Linked DNA regions of Danio rerio. The protein of the gene in region 1 interacts with the protein of each later gene in a pairwise test. Links are inferred from orthologs where the notes say so. Each region holds a gene or a part of one and is shown on either strand. Other genes may lie near its edges. The genes, in order: znrd2 and cct5.

Region 1 (7,727 bases):
TTTGTTTCTCACCGCTGCCACTGACTTGCTTGGTTGGGACTCATAGAGCTGTGCATCGATGGATTTGCTCTTCAGTCTTTGGACTTTCAGCATTGAAAATTAAACCACACTGAACTGAACTAAACTGAACTTCAACTCTGAAAACTGGACTGACAGTTTTAATTTACTTGAACTTCTATGTTAAGCTGCTTATACACAATCTACATTGGAAAAGCGCTATAGAAATAAACATGAATTGAATTAAATTGAACAGTAATTTTTTAGAGTAATTAGGCAAGTCATTGTCTAACAGTGGTTTGTTTTGTAGAGAATCGAAAAAGTATTCCTTAAGAGGGGTAATAATATCAACAGGGTGTCTGCGGGGTCTTAAAAAGCAAAAGTGTAGGCCTTAAAAAGTATTTAATTCACTGAAATTTTGTGTTGTAGGTCTTAAAACATTTTTAACAGGTCTTAATTTTCCTCTGTCCAAGTAAAGCTACCCAATAAGTCCAACATCCATCTAATCACCAATAATATAATATAAGTTTTATTATTGCATAGAGATACAATCGACAACAGAAATTTTTACAGCAAATTGTCAAAATGTAATTCTCTAATCAGGGAAAGAAACCTAAAAACAATTATTACATTCCACATGATAATAACAGAGCTATATGTCCCTTTACATGATTTTCCAGTTACACAAAAACTATGTACAAAAGTAAGGGGAAGCAGACGTAATATTCATAAACAGGCAAGGAATAGGCAAGGTTTTATATAGCCGAAAATTATTGGGTTGAATAGAAGTTATACTCAATCCATTCAGACAAATAGCCACAAATATATATTTTTGATCATTCATGTAATTGTGTCCGTAATAAATAAACTATTAACAATGGTTAAACTTGTCTTTTAAAAATAAATAACAATAAAAAAATAAAAAGTATGTACAACTAGAGTTTTCTTGTTTTGACAAATTCAAATAAGCAACAACAACCAGACCATTACAAAAAAAAACTTTAGTGTTTAGCCCTGTATAAGTCTAAAAATTTCATTCAAAACGGTCTTAAAAGGGTCTTAAAAAGTCTTAAATTTGACTTGTTGAAACCTGCAGAAAGCCTGTATTAACCTTAAATGTTTTTTAAGAAATTAAAAACTGTTTTTATTATAGCCGAAATAACAAAAGTCTTTCTCCAGTAGAAAAAAAATGTTCAAGGAAATATTGTAAAAACTGTAAAAGTTCTTGCTCTGTTAAATATAATTTGGGAAATGTTTGAAGAAGAAAAAATTCACTGGAGGGTGAATAATTTTGACTTTAACTATACATTTATGTGCAGTTTTTGATTGGCACTGAGTGTTAAACAATAGTATACAATAAAATCATTTACCTCTATATAACTCTATGCTTTATTAATGTTATTTGTCATCATTTGTAGTGATCAGATTTTTAGTTGTTCTCTTTAACAAACTTTGTCTTTATGTTTTTATTTAAGTTTTCAATCTGCTGGTAAATCTGGGAGAAATGTTTACGTACCCCAGTTTAATTTCCCTGGGAATTCTCTTGACAATCCCAGCAAGTGCAGGTATTTTTCATGGAAATAAATTGACAAGTAAACATTTTAATTATCTTGCTAAACACAAAGAGAACATCATTTATTGTCTGATAATTGAATATAGCGCTTTCTTCTCTTTCTCATAAGCTGTGGATGGCTTAGTGACGTTAACTCTGCAGATCAGCCATGTGCGAGCAGCGGCCGCCGGCATCATCTCAGCTGGATATCTGATGCTGCAGCTTCCAGAAAACTGGGATGAGAGCACTTTCCGCTGGCTCAGCGCACTGTGGCGTGGAAACTGGCGAGAGGACAGTATTGTTGGAGAGGAATCTATGGTGGACACTGCTGGGACTTTACGAACAAAAGCCAAACCAGCCGTAGTGACTCTCTAGCTGAGCCTTAAAAATGCAGGATTTTTTTGGCTTCATTAAATCCTTGAAGAAAACAAAGACTTTTCAATGTTCTTTGGATTTTAACCTGTCCTTCTAAGATATGAATGGTTTATTTAGGAACTGTTCCTAGTATGTTTTTAATGGTTTTACCATATTTGAATACTTTGTTGAAACCTACATGAGTGCTGGTGACTTATAAAATATTTTTAAATATTTTTTTTTTATAAAATCTGTAGGAATGAAGTTTTAATATTATCCAATTTCTGAGTACTGGGTTGTGGCTGGAAGGGCATCTGCTGCGTAAAACACACTGGAATAGTTGACAGTTCATTCCGCTGTGGCGACCCCTGATAAATACAGGGATTAAGCCGAAGGAAAGTGAATGAAGGAACATTATCAGTTTTGAAGTCTCCAACCTTAATCCCTCTAGTGCTGTTCAAATTTGCATGAACGTTTGTGCTAATACCTTTGAAACTGTAAGAACTAATAAAAATGTAATTATTGTCTCCTCTAATTTCTTGGCTTCAAAGCATAGTTCACCTAAAAATGAGAAGTCTGTCATCATTTACTCTCCCTTCACTTGTTTAAACCTGTTTAATATGAGAAATTGCAATGATTTGTGTAGTAAGACACTATGGAATTTGCTTGCTGTGGAAGTCAATGGCTACGGGTTTTTAGTTTTCTTCAAAATTACTTATTTTGTTGTCAAGAAACTCAGAAAGGTTTATAACCACTTGAGGATAAGTAAATACTAAATAGTGAGGACAATTAGATTTTTGCAACGAATTAAGAAAAGTTATCATTCGTCATATGTTTTCAGTCATTTTGTATTTTTCCATTAATAAACCCTCTTCTGTGGGCTCATAAGGTAGTGAAGTGTCCATCATGTGCGAACTTCTTAGTATTCTCATCTGTCAACTGGTTTGGGTGTAATACTATAGCACACATACCGTTTTTCACATACGGTAATATAGCTGACAAAGCTAATGCTATTTGTCCACAACTGTTGTGTGTTAACCATAACCAGTGATGATTTGCACAGTTTGAGCCCTGATGAAAATCCCAAACTTTACTTTTTCTCACCATAAGACTGTGTGAACTACACATTTCCAAACCATGCTGGCAACACCAACACCTGAGGCTGTATCTTTGCAAGACTGACAACGCCACACTACACTAGTTTGGTAACAGCATCACCTATTGGTCAAAGTAAACTATGAAATCAAAGTGATTTTCTTTATTCACATTAACTATGTATTAATTAGGCTAATATTAACCTGATGCAGTGATGGTAATGTTTAAAAATAAATTATAGAGTTGTGCAGAAGGAGTGATTTTATTGTTTAGGAGCCTTTTGAATTTTTTTCAAAATCCACTTTCATTATAAAATGTTATTTTCTGCATTGTTAAGACCCCAGATGTCTAGGGCTAGAGAGAGGCGTAACTGCATATTATCAGTTAAACAAATCAAGCAGGTAGTTAGAATATTTAGTTGACTGGAAACCAAGAGATAGTGAAGAACATTCTTTATTTTCCAGCATAAACTATGTATTTTTTTATGTGTCTAAATCCAGATTTTTTTTTCCGAACGAAACAAATAATCCTGAGATTTTCAGAATGAAGGGGAAAAAACTGAGCAATAGGACCTACATTCAGCTCGCTAGATGGCGCCAGTCAGTTTTCATAGCACCTTCCACATTTCACCGCTGAAGTTTCGAGCAGGAAACGTTATCTGTGTTGTGAGGCGGCTGATGAAGAAAGCATGGCCCTTAACGCAGGTAAAATGTCAATAAACTCACATTTAGACAAATCTCTTGTTAAACTCCCCAATTTAGTACCGAAATAACCCTTAATCACTAACCTCCAGTCGTGCTATAGTAACGTTAGTACACGTGCAGCTGCGCTAAAATAACATCATGTTACGTTAGCAGGTTAGCCCCTCACTGTCTGCATTTCTGTACTGGCATGTGGCTTTTATTTCATTTAAAATATCGAGCTTTCTCTGTGTCTTTGCCTATTATTGACTCGTAAAGTTCCACGTACAGGAATCGCACGGGTGCTGAAAATACTTTAAATGCTGGAATTTTACTCTTGTGTTTCAAGGTTTAAAATGTACTTAGATTATGGATAAAGTACTTTAAAATGCGATTGTTCCTTTCATAATAATTTATCTTACTAAGCTGGTAATAATAGTATGAATAAATTAATTATAATAAAGATATGTAAATGGATGACAGCATAACTAAATGTTGGGGTTGGATCAAACCTGCTATCACATATTTTCCTTTTATTAAAGCTAAAAAAATAAAATTAAAAACGAAATTTTTCACATAGTATATTAATTATACTATAATTTACTGTACTATACTCTAGAATAGCTTCTGATATAATGTGATGAAGTGTTTTTTTTTTTTTTTTGCATATAGCACAAATTTAATTAACAACTACAGAACAGAGCACAAATAATAATCAAATCAATAAGATTATAATATAAATAAATACAACTTTAAACAGAATAGACACACAAACACATTCAAAAAAGAACTACCTGGTCGTCTATTAATTAAAATGTTTTCAATAAACTGAACTTCCTAATTTTGATTTTACCAACTTTAAAGCTTTACAGTATAACCAAAATTCCTTTTGGAAAACCCAAAACAGTGGTTTTGTTTTCAGGCACTTGCATTTATGAACATAAAATTTCTCCAAAATTAGAATATTGTTCAATACAACTTGAATATTAATATCTTCCCCTAATAAACCAAAGATAATATCATTTTTAGAAAATTGGGAGGACATCTTGAGAGAAACTTTTAACCACTCAAATGAATTTGTCTAGAAGGTTCTGCTGTATAAACAGTCAAAAATAAATATACAGTCTCTGCAGATGGTTAAATATCATTGAATATTTTAAAGTGTACTTCTTTAGCTTTGAGGAGGTATGGGGAAGGAAAGGAACATATTCCCTAATTCGATAATAGAGCTTATTATCTGAATACACTCTGAATAAAATCTTCTCCATTCATCAGCAAATAAGGTACGTCATTTTTATTGGGGGCCACAGTACTAACCATTATTACAAATGCCTTCAGAATAGATTTCAATACCCTATTGAATTGCTTATGATCACATTCAAAGTTATATTTTTCACAAAAATTTCCAGTAACTCAGAACCTCACCCTCTTTGTTTAATAGATGGACACTCAACCAAATACCTCTCTCCCACCAATCTTTATAGAAAGGATTTTTTTCTAAATATAATTAATGTGATGAGGTGTGCAGACGTATGTAAATATGTAATTTTCCACACTTTATAAAGTACTGAAAAAGTTTTAAAACACCTGGAAAGTGCTTAAGTGGGTGTGTGAATTAAATGAGCATTCGTCCATAAACAAGAGCATTCTGTGTGTGTTTTCCTGAATCCAGATGATGAAGACTTTGAATGGGAGCCTCCCTCTGAAGCAGAGATGAAGGTGATTCAGGCTCGCCGGGAGCGGCAGGATAAGATCAGCAAGCTGATGGGAGACTATCTGCTGAAGGGGTACAAGATGCTGGGCGAGTGCTGTGAGCTGTGCGGGGTGAGAGAAAACACCATACACTCATAGGAGACTCCAATCAAATCTGTGTTTTATTTAGTGCAATACAAGCTAGAGCCTTAATTTAATTATTAAATATGCAGTGAGGTACTGTGTTGTTAAGTTGTAGCCATGTTTGAATATTAAAACTTGCGATAATGACAAAAGATGACGTGCAATATTTTCAGTTCAGAATGTCTGAAAGTTTAATAATGTTTTTAATTAGTTTAGTTTATTTATTTACAAAGCGTAATAAAAAAAAAATTTTTAAGTTGTTGACCATTGTGCTGTACAAACCTAAAAGCAAATGATCAAAAATAGACAGCAACAAGTAAAACAACATAGAATACATCCAACATACCACACAGCATCATAGATACATAACAAGCGACCAGATAGGTACAATAGGATTAATTTTCTCCCAATTTAAAAGCTATTTCAAGGAGGTGTAGTTTAAGTTTCCCTCTGAACAAAGATTCAATAGAAACTTTTCTAATGGACGAAGGTAGCCTGTTCCACACTTTAGGACTTACTACAGAGAAAGCTCAATCTTCTTTTTTTATTCAATTTGGATCTGGGAACTACTAGCATTTTCTGGTTCGATGACCTTAAACATATGGCAGATATTTGAACTAATAAGATTAGAGAGATAAGTCAGAGCCTGGCCTTTTAATACCTTAAAAACAGACATTAAAATTTTAAACTCAATTCTAGGTCACAATTTAGGAAACACGGGATAGGAGTAATGTGTTCAAACCTGCGTGTACCAGTAAGAAGCCTTTTAAAAAGCCTTTCACTTTGGCTGATAATCTCAGCTGAAAAAAACCAAGATTTAACTACTGCATCTACCTGTGTGTCAAATAAGAGGACAGAATCTAGGATAAAACTTTGATTTCTTAAAGATGGTTTAATGCAGTCTGCAAAATTGATTCATTTGATTCAGCTTTCCCGAGCCAGCAGTTGGGATGCATTTTAACTTGATCAAAATTGAGAGCTTTGAGACTTTTATAAAGTTTACAGTTGCAAATAAACACTGTACTCTGTTTATTCATCATGAAGCTATAAAATACAATGTGTTTCATGGATGTCCGAAAATAACTGAACAAAAAAATGAAAATAACTGAACGAAAATAACCTGTTTTTAATAATCCCGTCACATTTCCACTTTGTTTCTTTTTAAAGGCACTGAATAAATGCATGTTCGCCTCTTTTGAATGATGAATCAACATTTTACAAACCTGCCTCAATATTGCTGGGCGATATGGTAAAAATACAATATCAATTAATTATTTTCCACATTAAACAATAATGATATACATGTGTATATATATATATTTTGATTTCAGTTGTTATTGCTTCTGGATTTAAGAGTATCCCAACAATGACTAAAGCCCCAAAAATAAGAGGGTACATTAAATAGCATAACCTGGACGTAAATTTGGTGCATCCCTAATATCAACACAATGGCTAATCAGCACTGCTTAAAAACACGCTCAACTGTTAACGGGAAGTGTGCGTTTTCAGTATCAATTGGTACCTGATTGGCTCTTAGATTATATAGAGTAAAAAAGTAAAAGTAAAAAAAGTCATTGTTATTGACAAAAATGTTATCGCCATACGATATAATATCGTTTATGCCTTAACATTATAATGTTTACCTTGTTTTAAGACTGAAGTCTTAATGGCCCACATCTAGTATTTTTGCATTTATCTGCAGTGCCTTTCTGTAATTCAGCTGTTTTGCTTTTGTATTTTTACAAGGTCTCGTCTGACAACAATTTTTTTTTGAGTATCCAACATCTATAAATCAATCAATTTTAGAAAAAAAGACATTTAAATGAAAAATTACAATGATTTTCATGTTTAATCAGTAAAAAATACTGTTACTTTTAGTTAAAACTATGCAGTAAGGCAATATCTAATGGTACACAAACAACAAAAATAGTATTAAATATTGAATATTTACGGAATATTGAGTAGAGGCGGGGCTCTCTTTTTGCACAACATTTTTTCATAGGAAACTAACAGTAAGGGGGGGCGTGGCTAAAAATATTGTGACTGAAGCTGTCAAACTGACATCAACAGAGCCGGACCGCCACTCCAAAAGCAGATGCAGACTACCAAAGCAAAAATCATTAGCATGGATTCATTGTTCACCTAAAGAATAACAAAATAATCATTGTACATTTTTTCTCACAGACTTTAATTGTTATTACTTATTACAGTGT
Region 2 (7,709 bases), on another chromosome or scaffold:
GCGAACTTCTTGCTGTGAGGATACAGCACTACCTACTGCGTCACTGCATCGCCATAGTCATTTCTTAACCACATATTTTAATGTGTCAAAACTAAAAAAATTCTAGTTGTATAGACTTTTTTCAGCACGTTTCTTTTTTTTATAACAATTTTAACATTGTTAAAGGTATATTTATTATGAAGAACTACACAAATAATCAAAAAATATATATTTGTTTGCTTTTTGTCCAAATTAATTGAACTCCTATTCAACCAACTGCAATGTGTTTCTGTTATAAAACACAAGTTTTATGCCTTCCTTTACTTTCTGCAAAATGTCTAACAGCTGTTTAGAAATCGATAGATAGATAGATGGATGGATGGATGGATGGATGGATGGATGGATGGATGGGTTTTGGCCCGACTGGGTAACATTATATCAACAACTTTTAAAATTAAGACCTGTTTAAAATAATTTTAGACCTACAACACAAAATTTTTGTAAATTTAAGACTTTTTAAGGCCTAAAATTTTGTTTTTGAAATTTAAGACGTATAAAGACTATTTAAGATCCCACAGATACCCTGCATTTAGACTGCATTCGCATTGCAAAAAATCCCACATGTGAAAGTGTCACAAATCGAAATTTCAAAGATCACTTTCCATCATCCATTTGGTTTGTGGTGTTCAGTGTGTCATGATCGGAGTAGATTTGAGTAACATGAGCACAAAAAAAATCTGATTTGGGCCACATTTTGGCTACAGTGTGCAGCAACCTAATTGCTCATAGGTGGAGCTCACTCTTACCCAACAGCAAGTTCAGCTTACCTAACAGTGCATACCGCAGATGAGAAAGATGGTCGTGTGGCAGAGATTTATTCTTGATTTTTCTTACAAACTTCAGAGCGGTGTCTGGAGGGTCACCATCACCGGTAGTGGAAACCACAAAAACGACTGGGCGGCTTTCACTGTCTAGGTTGTACTGTGAATGTTCAAGATCAACATCAGCCAACTCTGATTTGTGCAAGATCCCTGAAAATTGCTGTGAAGAAGCAGCATACCTTGTCATGCTTGCTCAGACAGCTGATGTCTGCTGTAAATCCATGCTCAGCGGCTTGTTGGCAGATCTCTTCTGCTATAGACTGAGCCTGACCACGCTGAGATCCGTACAGAATTAAGAAGTGAGCGGCAGCTTCACACGGCATATTATAAAAGCTTGAGAAAGATGTGGAAAAATATTTCTGCATGTGACATCATAATGCATTAAAAACCTATATGTGATTATTAACCAGAATAAGTGCTGTTTTATAAAAGTCAGAACTCTCATAATAAAACTGTCATTAATAAAGTAAAAAATAAAATACTTTTTACTGCATTATTATTATTGATGAATTTAGGAATTGAGAAATGAATTGAAAAACACAAAATGATCCACATTAAAAATCTGATTTATATATCTGTTTTTATACATTTCTAGTTTTTATTTGATGAATAATTAAAAAAAAAAAAGCATAACTGCAGATATCAACCATATTTAGTCAACTGAAATCAAGTAAATTTAATGAAGTATATTTTTACTTAATCACTTTATAAATCTCATGATTGCTCAAACTCTGTCCACATTCATATCTACAGAATTTCTAAAATAAACAGTACTAAAAAGGTTTTTAAAACAAGTAAATTAATTTGACAGGCATAAACCACTTTCAAATGCATGTTACTTGTAGAAATGGTTTGTCAATAAGCATACTGGCACGTTTATCAACAAAAACCAATCCTAAATGTAGAGGGCAAATGTGGAAAAGCAAATATGCCATTACTTGATGAGGGTTTATTATTTTTAGAACATTATCATAATTTAACATACTAAACACAAGTATTATTTATATGCTTTTAAACAATAATTAGTTAATTATTAAAAATTATTAATAATTATTATTCAATAAAATATATTATTCAAAACATAAATAAATTCCAAAAGAAGGTTGCATAGCATATGATCATTTATGTTCAATTAACCTTTTTTTTCATTGAAATGTTTATTTATGAGCTTCGTTTTTTTAAAGGAACCTCTGTATTTACATTTTGTGATTGTGAGAAGTTCTTTTAGTTTATTACACGTATGTACTGTATGATATAATGAAACAATTTACTTTAAATATGACCTAATCTGTGTACGTTTGTAATGTAAAAAGAATCATTATAATATACAGGTGCAAACGGAAATCAAGCAACCCTGATCATGTGAATGTTGCATAAGTTTTATAAGAGATATCCAAAAAGATATCAAAACAAGCTGTAGCTTCACCAAGTCTAACTTTAAAGTCATGTAGACCTCACAAAGACACTTCAAAAACAAATGTCGGTCACAAATGTAAAACGTAAATGATGGAGAGAGAAAAAAGTCACCTTGCTTTTGCAAATAACAACACAAACAGCCTCTTCGGTCATGTAACATACTGAAATCCACACTGGTGTGCTGTCAGAAGCATGAACGGGAGGAACAGGTAATCGGAAATTACGTTACCAACGACGAGCACATGGCCTTTCTCAAATACACAAGTTGTACGTGTGCACATACACAAATCAATTTTGTAACGTCTATTTGTTAGTCAATCTGCATGAATTATAAATCTGTACCCGCACTCGCGTTATTTGTTGTCGTTATCGCGAGAATGGAATAAACCATTAATATGCTTCAATTTAAAAAAATTATTTAAAGATTCGTTAATTGCTTTTTCTCCTTCATAATTGTCTTAAATGTTTAATATTGTTATTTAATTAGGGATTAAATGGTAATGTAATGTACAAAAATGTGGATGTTTTAACATTGTCAACTTGGTTTGGTCCGTCCCTCCCCGAGATTCTTCCAGAACTAGCCGGCAGATCCGCGCGGTGAGGTGCGCAGCTAGAGGATTAAATTCTCTAGTATAACATCACTTTTCATAACTGTGCATTTCTTTGGGGTGGAAATTAAACATGTCCGCGCTTGGGACTCTCGCCTTCGATGAATATGGAAGGCCTTTCATCATCATAAAGGACCAGGACAAGAAATCTCGCTTGACTGGCCTGGAAGCACTGAAGGTAACGTTACAAAAGCTAACGGGCTAATGGGCTATAACGGAGATTTTAATCATATCTGTAATCCAGAATACCGCATTTACTGTATACTGTAGATTGATTCTTTATGAAAACGTACTTCTGCAGTCTGACATGTTAAGAATGCATTCAGTTATTGCACATTTATTTGTCTAACGTGATCAACAATGTGCGCATGTCAAGGGATGGTCCATGTGCTTCCTCTAGTCTAGTCTAAAGACGTCGAGTCATAATGCGCAATGCCTTCATTCATTCATCAGACATGTCTTCATCACATTTTATTTGTGGCAATATACTTCAGTTGAATGTTGTTAATAAATAAGTAATGATGATAGCTATCACTCTACTTCCCCCAATTGTTTGATTGCATAAAGAATTGCAAAAAGCCAAACTTTTCTAAACGGACAGGTGCATGTTTTTGTTGTGTTTTTTGGGGGCTTGCAGTGTCTTGCCTTGTTTTATAATGATAGTTTCAGTTCTATTATTTGACAAAAATCCTATAAAGAGGATTGGGTTGTTATTTGAGACACGCCTTACTAACAAATTTTTAGTTTATATATACATACATACATATACATTAAATTTATATAAGATATTCTACCAGAAATGCACATTATCTTTCCCTTAAAACCGTAAATTGCCATTCTTGCCTACCCATTTGAGCCTCCCAAGCCCAAAACCAAGCATAAGCTTGGCGTGGCATCTACTGACATCAATGTTATTTCTGTTCTCTTCAGTCTCACATTCTTGCAGCAAAAGCAGTTGCTAACACCCTGAGAACATCGCTAGGTCCAAATGGTATGTTTTTAATTTTGCATGTACTCTTCCTAGTTTATTTCATGCTGTTTTTTTTAATGCTGGTAAATGTTCTTTACAGGACTTGACAAGATGATGGTGGATAAGGATGGTGAGGTGACCGTGACCAATGATGGTGCGACGATCCTCAGCATGATGGATGTGGACCATCAGATTGCCAAGCTCATGGTTGAGCTCTCCAAGTCTCAAGATGATGAAATTGGAGATGGAACCACTGGTGTTGTTGGTGAGCTTAGCTTGATATTCTTCTTCTCCCCTTTTAAAACACAACCACAACACTAGCAAGAGCATTTTCTTTCTGTCTTTGTTTAAATGCATTGATTTGCTCGTATATAAACATGGATAAATGTACAGCCTTACAAATACATTGAAATGCACATTAGAAAAAATTTAAAAATCCTCTTTTCCAAGCTGTGTGTACATTTTATGTGCCATTACAAAAATGAGCATGTGTGCATACTGTTCTGGAGATGATATGCTATGGGAAATGACCCAGCTTATACAAAATCTAATAATAAAAGGTCCTTTTACAGATCTAAGTATGATATATATGCTTTACTTTAATATGATATATGGATGCTATTTACAATATTTATACTTTATGTACAATATACAGCTGAAGTCAGAATTATTAGTTCCCCTGAATTATTAGCCCCCCTGTTTATTTTTTTGCCCAATTTTTGTTTAACAGAGATAAAATTTCTAACACCACAATTTCTAACAAATCTCTAACACATTTCTAAACAATAGTTTTAATAACTCAATTCTAATAACGGATTTATTTTATCTTTGCCATGATGACAGTAAATAATATTATACTAGATATTTTTCAAGACACTTCTGTACAGCTTAAAGTGACATTTAAATGCTTAACTTGGTTAATTAGGTTAACTAGGCAGGTTAGGGTAATTAAGCAAGTTAGTGTATAATGATGGTTTGTTCTGTAGAGTATTAAAACAAAATATAGCTTTAAGGGGCTAATAATATTGACCTTAAAATATTTTTTTTTTAATTAAAAACTGTTTTTATCCTAGCCGAAATAAATCAAACATGACTTTCTCCAAAAGAAAAAAATATCAAACACTGAAAATTTCCTTGCTCTGTTCATCATTTAGTAAATAGAAAAAAAAAAGAAAAATTCAAAGGGGGGCTAATGATTCTGACTTCATATCTGAATATTATAGTAAAGCATATACAGTTAATCATTTCTTGTCAGGCTTCTAAAACTGCTAAACATTTTTCTAGACTGGACACTTTAATGGGGGAAAATGTTCTAAGATATAAATGTCACCCTAATTATTTTTTAATGAATTATTCTTACTTGTTTTGTGTTTACTCGTTATAGCATGAAGGACTTTAGTAATTAAATTAGTACAAGGCTAAATTGAATGTATAAGTAGGTGTATGTAGGTTTATACGCAAGACGTACTGTTTTGCTGTTTGAATTAAATTGTCAAGTAATTGATAAAAACCACTGGTGAAATAATATTGTAATCTTACTCCATATAGTGGAGAATGAAAAAATCATATTTAATGTTTTGTTTTCTCTTATTGCTGCATGTAGTTGTCAATATGTAATATGTTACTTTTATTACTGTTACTGATGTGACAAGAAATAAATCTTAAATAATGGTAAAAAAAAAAAAATAAAAACAATAAAATTGAGCAGGGTACATTTAAATGTAGAGAGAAAGAACAATTTAAAGCTGTATCACACTTTTACTATTGTAATGCTTGACATGTTGATTTCATGCAGGCCTACCTGTAGGCTATAGTTCATATTCCTAAATGTAAAAAGTGTTTATGTACTATGTTTGTCCGCTTGTTAAGTGTGACTTTACGTGAAGCGGCTTTACTTTCACGTGATTTTTTACTTTAAAAAAAAATCTAAATCGCAGTGTGTATATATAAATACATCCATGCCTAATATTCGATGATCAGAAAGTAATACATTTTTTGTAAATTGTTAAATATTGGTGTTTGTGATGCAGCATGTCCAGAGACCGTTGTGTACACCGTGATTTCATATAAAATTCACTTTTATTTTCAATATGACTGAAAAAGTGGTCATAAACAAATATTTTGTCAATTCTAACGTGTAGTGGCTTGGACCCGGAAACATTTCATACGTCACGATTGACAAGCAGATTGAAGTCTTATTTTCTTGCTTATTGAGTTACTGTAATGTTTGTTTTGTCCTGTAGTTCTGGCCGGAGCTCTTCTGGAGCAGGCAGAGCAGCTGTTAGACCGAGGCATTCACCCCATCAGAATTGCAGATGGTTATGATCAGGCCGCAAAGATCGCCATCGAACAGCTCGACAAAATCGGTGATAGTTTCCCTGTGGATCCTAACAACACAGAATCTCTCGTTCAGACAGCCATGACCACACTAGGATCCAAAGTGTGAGTTTTTCTGTTACTACGTGTTTGATTTGACCAGATAATTACTGAGAATATTCATTATTAATATTTTTTCCTGGTTTATAGGATCAACCGGTGCCACAGACAGATGGCAGAGATTGCTGTCAATGCCATTCTGACAGTGGCAGACATGGAGAGGAAGGATGTGGACTTTGAGCTCATTAAAGTGGAAGGAAAGGTTGGTGGTAAACTAGAGGACACTCAGCTCATCAAAGGTGTCATTGTGGACAAAGAGTTCAGTCACCCTCAGATGCCCAAGGTTTGTGTTTAGTGTTAATGTTCATTTCATGCATGCTCTGGTTCTAATATTTTAGGTTATTTATTTATTAGTGCATTCTTCCAGGTGCTCAAAGACACCAAAATTGCCATCCTCACCTGCCCATTTGAGCCTCCCAAGCCCAAAACCAAGCATAAGCTTGATGTGACATCAGTGGAGGATTATAAAGCTCTGCAGAAGTACGAGAAGGACAAGTTTCAGGAAATGATCCGACAGGTTTGTATATTGCCTGCTTTTGTTTTGCGGTTCTTAAGGCTGATTTATACTTCTGCCTCAAACGCATGTGTATGCTCGGTGTTAACGCATAGCCCTGGCCGTCGGCGTCGCTGACGTGCGCCTCTCAAAAAATGTAACTACACGTCGCATCGACGCGTATCGCAAGCTTTGTGATTGGTCGGCTTGGTAAAGCTGACGAGTCTGGGCAGGACTGAGAGCCATGCGAGCGGCGCGAGCCCAGTGGAGCGATTGTTTACAAGTGTGGAGTCCCATGAAGGAGCTCCAGATGGAAAGTTGTTTTGTGTTTACCTCATAGTTAAAGTTGTTGCACGTCCGCCGGTTCCTGCCTCAAAATGAGTACAGCCACTTGTACATACAGGAAGTGTTCAGGAAAAGCAAAACTCCAGCGAAGAAACTTAAGACAGAGGAACATTAACACCTCACTGCCAACTAGCGTTTCGGAAGTGTTAATGCTGACCAACAGAGACAGCGCGCAGAAGTATAAATGCACGACTACGCACATTGCATGCGCCGTGGGTTACGCTGGTCACTTGACGCAGAAGTATAAACCAGGCTTTATGCAGATATATTGATTAAATTATTATTTTTTATTTTATATGGATGTAATTGTTTCATTCTTTATTACAAATTATTATTATTATTATTATTATTATTAAGGTCAAAGATGAAACGTGTTAAGCAATATATGTAAAAAAAAAAAATCTATACATTTAAATGTAACATTAATAAAGTGTGTTAAAGTGTATGGAAGTACTTTTTAAAAATGACAAATGCTAATTATTATTATTGTTATTATTTTGTTAATTTGCATAATAGCCTGCCTCAGTAAAGCATCAATCTTTAATTTTGAGCAATAAGAGCTATTTTAAAGCTACAGCACT

What was found.
Region 2: the proteins of znrd2 (region 1) and cct5 interact in binary tests that used the Homo sapiens proteins (3 or more experiments, as listed by UniProt). The two-hybrid records come from large-scale screens. The link is inferred for Danio rerio from reciprocal best matches to the Homo sapiens genes ZNRD2 and CCT5.

The regions. Positions count from the first base shown.
Region 1 is NC_133185.1:31,772,982-31,780,708, forward strand, and holds the start of znrd2 (protein ZNRD2), read left to right. Parts: upstream 1-3,617; 5' UTR 3,618-3,686; coding exon 3,687-3,702; intron 3,703-5,350; coding exon 5,351-5,502; intron 5,503-7,727. Other genes in the region: solute carrier family 35 member F4, read left to right, coding at 1,473-1,562, 1,680-1,924. UniProt on the Homo sapiens protein: Might play a role in mitosis. Antigenic molecule. Could be a centromere-associated protein. May induce anti-centromere antibodies.
Region 2 is NC_133199.1:20,771,907-20,779,615, forward strand, and holds the start of cct5 (T-complex protein 1 subunit epsilon), read left to right. Parts: upstream 1-2,843; 5' UTR 2,844-2,957; coding exon 2,958-3,062; intron 3,063-3,814; coding exon 3,815-3,875; intron 3,876-3,954; coding exon 3,955-4,119; intron 4,120-6,097; coding exon 6,098-6,296; intron 6,297-6,380; coding exon 6,381-6,573; intron 6,574-6,657; coding exon 6,658-6,807; intron 6,808-7,709. Other genes in the region: mtrr (methionine synthase reductase), read right to left, coding at 807-960, 1,040-1,183. UniProt on the Homo sapiens protein: Component of the chaperonin-containing T-complex (TRiC), a molecular chaperone complex that assists the folding of actin, tubulin and other proteins upon ATP hydrolysis.